Macaca fascicularis: one gene and its partner. The protein of the gene in region 1 interacts with the protein of each later gene in a pairwise test. Links are inferred from orthologs where the notes say so. Each region holds a gene or a part of one and is shown on either strand. Other genes may lie near its edges.

What was found.
Region 2: the proteins of PRR22 (region 1) and NELFA interact in a two-hybrid assay, tested with the Homo sapiens proteins (2 studies listed by BioGRID). The two-hybrid records come from large-scale screens. The link is inferred for Macaca fascicularis from reciprocal best matches to the Homo sapiens genes PRR22 and NELFA.

What each region holds. Positions count from the first base shown.
Region 1 is NC_088393.1:6,543,731-6,547,940, forward strand, and holds PRR22 (proline-rich protein 22), read right to left. Parts: upstream 2,684-4,210; 5' UTR 2,537-2,683; coding exon 2,203-2,536; intron 2,112-2,202; coding exon 2,049-2,111; intron 1,729-2,048; coding exon 650-1,728; 3' UTR 632-649; downstream 1-631. Other genes in the region: DUS3L (tRNA-dihydrouridine(47) synthase [NAD(P)(+)]-like), read right to left, coding at 2,876-2,948, 3,055-3,183, 3,279-3,467, 4,162-4,210.
Region 2 is NC_088379.1:2,156,297-2,160,605, forward strand, and holds the start of NELFA (negative elongation factor A), read right to left. Parts: upstream 2,958-4,309; 5' UTR 2,943-2,957; coding exon 2,733-2,942; intron 1-2,732. UniProt on the Homo sapiens protein: Essential component of the NELF complex, a complex that negatively regulates the elongation of transcription by RNA polymerase II.

The DNA of each region.
Region 1 (4,210 bases):
CCGCTGGGGCCCCTGACCCTCTCCTGGGCTCCAGGTGCTGTCTCCTGTCTCCATCTCGGGTGCACATGCCAGGTCCCCTGGGTGCTGTGTGCTCCCCACTCCTTCACGCGTGGGCAGTCTCCCCATCCCTGCCCCAGCCCCCACCCTCACACCATCAGGTCAAGCCCCTGCACCCACCTGTCTGTCTGAACAAGAGTGTGGCCCTTCCCGCCCTCCCTGCAGTGACTGTGGCTTCCTGGGGACAGGAGGCGGCTGGGTGGAGATCTGGAAGCTGCTCCACAAGCCCTGCCCTGATAGCTGTGTGTCTCCGGGGAAGTTCCTGCCTCTCTCTGGGCAGCCTTGCTTTTCCCCACCAAAGGGGTGAAAATCCTTAGAACACGTCGAGTCTAGAGGTCAGCTACCCCATGCCCCAGGAGGCCCGTGCCTCTGCCAGTGGAGTCTGATCTTCCAGGGCTGGGACTCAAGGGGTTTAGGGTGTCCTGTCATTCCGGGGTTCCCCTGCTAGGCTCTGGAGGCCTCACTGTGAGGCCGGGGGCACTGCCTTGCCAGTCTGCGGGATGACAGGGTGAGGGGCCAGGTGTGCACCTCCAGCCCCCTCCCCATCCCCAAGGCCACCACGTGGACATGGAGCTGAAAGGTCAAATGTGCTTTAATGGGGGGTGGGTCCCAGGTCCTGCCTGGGCCCCGGGGAAGTGGCGCTGGCTGGGCCTGCCAGCTGCTTGGCCTTCCCTCCCAGCTTTCCCTTCTTGGCCGTCGAGGCCTTTCTCTTGCCGGGCAGACTGGGGGCTGGGGTGTTGGCGGTAGGGGGCCCCGGGTGGGGCGGCTGCTCCTCGTCGAGCGCCTTGAAGTTGAAGAAGTAGTCGACGTTGGACACGGTGTCCAGGATCTCAGGCACGCTGTAGTCGAAGGACAGCAGCTCCTCGGGCAGGCGCAGCGACCGGATGTCATCGGCTGGGTTCCCACCACTGCTGTCAGGCAGGGCCGGCCCGGGGACCTCGCACAGGGCACCCTCAGGCTCAGTGGCGCCTGGCAGGCAGTCGAAGAGCTTCATGGCGTCCTCGAGCAGCACCTTGTCAGGCAGTGCCAAAGCTCTGGCCGTCTCGGGGGCCTTGGCCTCGCCTGCTCCCAGGAGGGCCCCGTCCTTGGCCTCAGCCACCTTGAGCTCGCTGAGGCCTGGTGGGTACGTGGGCAGCCCAGGTCGGGCCCCGCCGCCCTGTAGCTCCTTGGCGGGGAAGGCCAGGGGTTCGGGCCCAGGGAAGTGGCCGAGGTGGCCCTGGAGGTGGCTGTAGGCGTCCGGGGGCAGTGTGGGCTCTGCAGGCAGCGTGATGAGTACAGGGGGTGGCTTGTTCTCCTTGGGAGGTGGAGGGGGTGGCGGGGCCGGGCCTTCCTCAAGTGGCGGTAGGGGCAGCTCCATGAAGGCGGCGGCGGGTCCCGCGTCCCCCACAAAGCCCAGAGCCTCTGGCCCGGGGCCCTCAGGCGGGAAGTAGGGCAAGAGGAACTGGGCCCCCCCCGGTGCTGGTTGGTAGTGGGGGTATGGGGGCAGCCCCGGGGCCTTGAGGTAGGGCTGCGGCTCCAGGAGGTAGCTGCCTGGGGCAGAGGGGCCCCCCACTGGCCCCCCGCTGCTTGCCGCCAGCTTGTACAGGGCCGACTGGCCCAGGTCAGGGGTGGTCCACTCAATCCGATAGATGCGGGGATCGAAGAAGCACCCGCATGGGGCCATCTGGAAACCTGTGGGCAGCAGGCAGGTGGCCTGAGAGCAGCCGCTGCCTGATGGGCCCAGCTCAAGCCTGGGGGCCTGTCTGGGGGATGCCACGAGAACCTTGCCATTGGGGGGCCCCTTTGGGGGACGACATAGGTATTGCTTTGGGGCCCTGGCTGGGTGATGGATAACACAGAGCTCGTCTTTGGGGCTCATCTGGGGGACCTGTGTGAAGCAGGGGAGCAGAGGCCATGCCTTCAGGCCCCCACCTAGGGACAGGGCAGGGGCAAGATGGGCCTGCCCTCAAACCCACTCCCAGCCTCATCAAGGGTTCAGGGGAGGCCGGTACCTGCTGGAGGGGCCGGAAACACCTCTTTCTCTGGGTCTGGGGGATGGTAGAGGTTCAAGGAGCCTGTGGACAAAGGTGCCCGGGTGGGTGGGGCCCTTAGGCGGGTGGGACCCTGAGCCCTCCCTAACAGGTGCCCCTGCCCACCCGATCGTACCCACGGCGGGAGGTGGCTCGGTGCAGGTGGGAGCGGGCTGGCTGCCCAGTGCCTCGGCCCCCTCCAGACTCTGGGGGCTGAAACCTTCCTGGGGAGCTGCAGGGGCATAGAAGGGTTTGGGGTGCTGCATGGGGCAATGGGGGGCCCAGCCCAGACAGGCCGGGAGGGCGGCAGTAGGAGCACAGGTGGCCCAACCAGAGAAGAGGCTGAGAACCCGGTGAGGTTCTGTTTGCCTGGTTACTCGGGGCAGCGGGTTCCAGCCTGCAGCCCGCCCACTGGTTGGGGTTCTGGGTGTTAGGGGCGGGCAGGGGCAGACGGTGGCAGAGACGGTCATCACGAGGGGAGGGAGGACTCTGGGCCAGGCCTTTGCCTCTTCCAGCAACACCCCCTAACAGCTTCGAGGCTGCCTCCTCCAGACAGGCTGCCCTGATCTCCACGGGCATGCAGGCTGAGGCTCCCCGGGTCCTGCATCTGCTACCTTCTTGGGGGTCAAGGCCTCTCTGGGCACGAGCAGCACCCAGCTTGGGGCAGGGCCCATGGAGGCGGCCAAGAGGTTTGGGGAAGATGGGGGCCAAGGAGGGGCTGCTTCAGGGTCACAGAAAGGCCTGGATTTTAAAAGAATAAAATTTATTGTACTCTCCTCGCCCCACGGTGCCCCTGGGAAAGCCTGAGGCTACTTATACGCGTTGGCCTTGTGCTTCGGCAAGAAGACGAAGTTGGGGGGCACTGGTCCAAGGAGCATCTCACTGTGGGAGGGCAGGTGGAAAGCAAGGTCAGGCCCAGGGCCTGCAAAGCACCCTCCATGACCCAGAGCCCTGACTCCAGCCCTGCACCTCCAGCCCACCCAGGCACCTGATGCGGATCCAGTCGGCGGCCTTCTGGCTGGCCATCAGCGTCTCCAGGTAGTCGCGGCCCAGGTAGTAGGGCGGCCGCTCGTTGATCCTCTGTGGGAGCCGTTCCAGCAGCCCCACGGGCACGTACCTGCAGGCAGGCGGGCAGGCAGCAGAACAGGCTTGAGTCAGCCCTAGTCAGCCGCGGCCCATGCGCCGCCCACCCCAGCCAGCCCCGGTGCCCACCGGCACAGGAAGGACAGCCACTCGAGCAGGAAGCGTCGGGTCTTCTCCACACCCTGCGTGTCCGAGCCCCAGTGCTCCAGGCCGTAGTTGGTAAAATCCCGCAGGATGTCCAGGCGCTCGGACGACGAGATGTCCCAGTGCCTCTGCTCCTTGATCTCCGTGAACAGCCACGGCTTGAGCAGGGCGCCACTGTGGGACGGGCGACGATCAGTGGGCCCAGCCACCAGCCTGCCTGGGATCGTGTGGCCCCTGCTTCCATGGCCTGGCCTGAGCTGGAGCCCAGACCACGAAACCTACTAAGCCTAGGAAGCCTCCCGGCTGTGTGCACACAACCTTCAAAGCCCAGGACTTTCTTTTCTTCTTTTCTTTTTTTTTTAGGCAGAGTCTGGCTCTGTTGCCCAGGCTGGAGTGCAGTGATAAGATCTCGGCTCACTGTACAACCTCCATCTCCCAGATTTAAGCAATTCTGCCTCAGTCTCCCTAGTAGTTGGGATTACAGGCGTGTACTACCACACCTGGCTAATTTTTGTATTTTTAGTAGAGATGGGGTTTCACCACGTTGGCCAGGCTGGTCTTGAACTTCTGACCTCAAATGATCGGCCTGCCTTGGCCTCCCAAAGTGCTGGGATTACAGGGGTGAGCCAGTCCACCTGGCCAAAGCCCAGGACTTTCAACCCACCATAATCAGATCCCATGGCAGCAGCAATTTTCAGTCCTCTCTGCCGCAACACAGCTGCAGCTCCTAACAGCGCTCTCTGCCCCTCCCAACTTGGGACCAACAGCCCGCCACAGAGCAGGGGTGGGTGACGGCGTGTCGGGTTCGGGGCACTGCTGCTGTGCATTAAGCTGGAGCTGCATCTCTGTAACATCTCTGGGCACTCACCGGGCAATCATGATCCCGGCAACACCAGTCTGCATGGCGCGGTTGGCAT
Region 2 (4,309 bases), on another chromosome or scaffold:
AGTGCAAAAGGCAAAACCGTACAGCTACGCCAAGATAACCCAGGGAGTGTTCCGGGCATGTCCCTTGGGGACACAATAGGCACCAATGATAGTGGGCAGATGAATACACCATCTACGTAAAAACTAGGAGTTTCTATTCATCCACGATTCCAGGAAGAGGCTGGACGCAAGGATCACACCTGTAATCCCAACACTATAGGAGGCCAAGGCAGGAGGATCACTTGAGGCTAGTTCAAGACCCGCCTGGGCAATATAGTAAGACCCCCCCACCATCTTCATACACACGCACAAAAATTAGCCAGGCGTGGTGGCAGAGCATCTGTTGTACCAGCTAGTACAGAGGTTGAGGAGGGAGGACTGTTTTAGCCCAGGAGTTCAAGGTTAAAGTGAGCTATGATTATACCACTAGACTCCAGCCTGGGTGACAGAGTGAGACGCTGTCTCAAAAAAAAACAAAAAATGAAAAACAAAAGCCGGTCATGGTGGCTGACGCCTGTAATCCCAGCACTTTGGGAGGCTGAGGTGGGTGGATCACGAGGTCAGGAGATCAAGACCATCCTGGCTAAGACGGTGAAACCCCATCTCTAGTAAAAATACAAAAAATTAGCTGGGTGTGGTGGCGGGCGCCTGTAGTCCCAGCTACTCGGGAGGCTGAGGCAGGAGAATGGTGTGAACCCGGGAGGCGGAGCTTGCAGTGAGCAGAGATCGGGCCACTGCACTCCAGCCTGGGGTCAAAAAACAAAAAAACAAAGAAAAGAATTCCAGGAAGCTAAGTCAAAGGACAACTGGGAGATATTTGTAACTGAAAAAGGACTGACGTCTAGCATTTATAATAAATAATAAAAAAGATACTCTTACAAAACAATGGGAAAAAAGAGAATTTAAAAGCAGATTTGAATATACAATTCTCAAAACAGAAAACCAAGAAGCAGGCCGAGTGCCATGGTTCACACCTGTAATCCCAGCCCTTTAGGAGGCTGAGGCAAGCAGACTGCTTGAGGTCAGGAATTCAAGACCAGCCTCGGCAGCATGGTGAAACCCTGTATTCCCAGTTACTCAGGAGGCTGAGGTGGGAAGACCACCTGAGCCCAGGAGGTCAAGGCTGCAGTGAGCCATGATTGTGCAGCTGCACTCCAGCCTGGGTGACAGCGCGCCAGACCCGGTCTTAAACAAAACAAAAAAACAAAAACAAAACACTCTGAAAAATAATTTGGCATAATCCTATGATCCCCACAATTCCACTCCTAGATATTATACCCTAGAGAAATCCCAAGATTCCAAATACCTGATGCAACACATCACAATAATGTAGTAACAGAATTATTTACAACAGCACACAACTGGCCATAAGCTAAATGTGTCACTGTGATAGAATGGATAAAGAGCTTCGTGCTCAAAGGAATACCACAGAGCAGTGAAAATCAAACCAACTCAGCTGCAACTTGGATGAAACTGTCAAGGTGTCCACCAAAAGGACACATGCACGCCGCACACAAAATACACTATGATACCATCACACTAAGTCCAAATCAGGCAATCAAGCTGTGCCATTCAGGGGTGCATAAATAACTGCTAATACCGGGGAGATGGTACAGAAATGATCACCTTTCCAAAATGAGGGAGGGGAAAGTAAGAAGGCTGTGATTACCAATGGGAGGTTTCCAAGGAACAGGCATGGTTCTGTATCTCCACCTGTGTGAGGATCACAGGAGTGGCTCACGATGCTACTATTATTCGTGAAACTGAACAAAAATGCACTTTTCCATACATGTCATATCTCAATAAAAAACAATTACAACCTATAATATAATACGCCAGTAGCCGGGAACGTTTAAACAACCACGGGGCTTCAATAGTCTGCAAAACTACTTGGTTTATTTCGCACGGAAAGAGATACAATATAACATTGAGGAAAAATAAAACAAACCTCACACACCCACTCATTGGAATGACGCCAAACGGCGTGCAGAAAAGAGTAAAATGGACATAGAGCACTCCGGGCGGCCGGGGTCTTTGCGAGGTGAGAACAACAAAATGCAGTCAGCGGACACTGGAGCTACAGAGCACAGGCCGCCCCTTCCTCACGTGGGTTTCTCTCGGGACCCCCGCCCTCGCCCAGGTCACTGGGGCTGCGTCCCCGACGGGAGACCCCGCTGGGGCCGGCGCACCCCCGCCCCGAGAGTCGGTCGCTTTGGGACGGTGGGGGATTAGGGTGGTGAGGACTGGGGGCGGGGGAGGCGGGGGCGGGGGAGGATGAGTACCCGGGGGCCCAAGGAGGGGAGTGAGGACCTGGGGGTCGTAGTGAGAACCCGGGGCCCGGCGTGGAGGAGGCTGAGGATCCCAGGGGAGGTGAAAACTTAGGTAGGGGTGAGGACGAAAAGTAGGGAGGTGAGGACCCTAGGGGGGGATTCCCAGGGCGCGAGGAGGTGCGGGGGGGAATTGCTGAGAACCCAGGGTGGGGATGAGAACCGAGGTGGGAGATGAGGATCGAGGCGGGGGATGAAGACCCAGGGGGAGGTGAGGACTGGAGGGAGAGATCGGGAGGAGCGAGGAGGGGGCGTGAAGGCGGGGGCGTGAGGGCTGAGGACCCGGGGAGGCTGACAGTCTGAAGGGGGATGGGAAGGTGGGGGAGGGACCGAGGAGGGTCCGGAGCAGGGGCAGGAGTAGGGTGTGCGGGTCGGAGGTGGGAAGGCTGGGATTCTGGAGGCCGCGGCGCGCCCCGCCTGCCTCACCTCGTCCACCGTGCGGCGCGGAAGGTGCAGCGTCCCGAGTAGCAACTTGAGCTTCACCGCCGAAGAGAGGCCATGGAAGCAGAGACGGATGTTGTCGATGACCGCGGCCGTCAGCAGGGACGCGATACTGGGCGGCGCCCACAGCTCGTCCGTGGCCCCTAGCTTGTTGTGCAGCCACAGGCCCGTGTCGCTCTCCCTCATGGACGCCATCTTGGGGGAAAGCGCGCGTCGCAGCCCCGGCATCTTATGAAGACACCTACGCGCCCTCGGCTAGGACCCCAACATGGCGGCGCCCGTCGGGCTGCGGGCTGCAGAGGCGGCGCAGGCAGCAGGGTCCAACGAGCGGGGCTTCCAACGAGAGCGCTTCTGGGTGGCGGCCGCGTCTCCGGGAAGCTCTGTGGCAACGTCGAGAGCCGGAACGACGGGGTGACGCCGGGCAAGAACTATCGGCTTCCGTAACGCATCATGGCGGCGCCCGCTGCCGACTCTCGGGGAGACCGCAAAAGATGACGTCACGAGCGGGCGCGCGTCTTCGCGGCTTGGGAGCTCGGGATGCGGCCTGGCGTTCGCAGTGCAGGTGTCAAGTGCTGCAGACTCGCGGCCGTGCGTTGGGGCGGAGGTTCCCGGTGCGCCTGCCCCGTCCTCCGCTCTTCGCTTTCTCCCCGCTTGGGTCTCGGTGCGGACCTGGTCGCCCGCCCCCGCGGGCCCAGCACCTGCACAGAGAGGAGCCGCGGCCCTGCGGAGTGAGCCTGCGGGATTCCAGTCTCCGCGCTGAGCTTCCGTCCCCCGCTGAACCCGCTCTGCCCGTGGCGCGCCGCCAACTGAGCTGCGCTGAGCATGCGGATCGGAGGGCGCTCGGGGAGTGGTCCCGGGGCACCCGTGACCCCGCAGTGCAGGGAGGCCCCGGCCCCTACTCGGCCTGGAGCATATGGGCAGAAGCCAATAGTGAACTTTTCAGTTTTACGAGCTTGTCATTAGGTACAAACATGAGTAAAAGTTGAACCTCATTTTATTAAATTCATTTTACTATTTTGTCTTTTTGACGAGGCCTTCCTATGCTGGCCAGGCTGGTCTCAAACTCCTGAGCTCAAGCGATCAGCCCGCCCACCTCTGCTTCCCAGAGTGCTGGGGTTACAGGCCAGGGCCGCCTTGCCTGGCTTCTGTATTATAGTATCTTTTTTTAAAAGGTCTTTTCCTTATTCTTCCACCGCTATGCGCCTGCCGCCGTTCACAGCTGTTGCCACTGGGCAGTGGAAACGCAGGGAGAACAGGGCTCAGCTCAGCTGCTAGCAGTGCCCTGGCCTTGGCGGCTTGAACTTGGCAGTCCTGCGGAAGTCACACGGTGGAAACCCGCAAATGCTACAGATCAGGGCTGGAGCGGCGGTTTTGTTGACTGCTTAAACTGAAGAAAGTGATAGAGAAAATGTTGATGATGAAGATTAAACTTAAAACTGTGTCATGTCGATAACCATTACATTGCAAATAGCACATAAAATTTAAGAGAATATTTTTTAAATGATTTAAAAGTTAGTATCCAATTCAGCAAAGACAAGTTATTGACTAATGGGTGAAGTTGT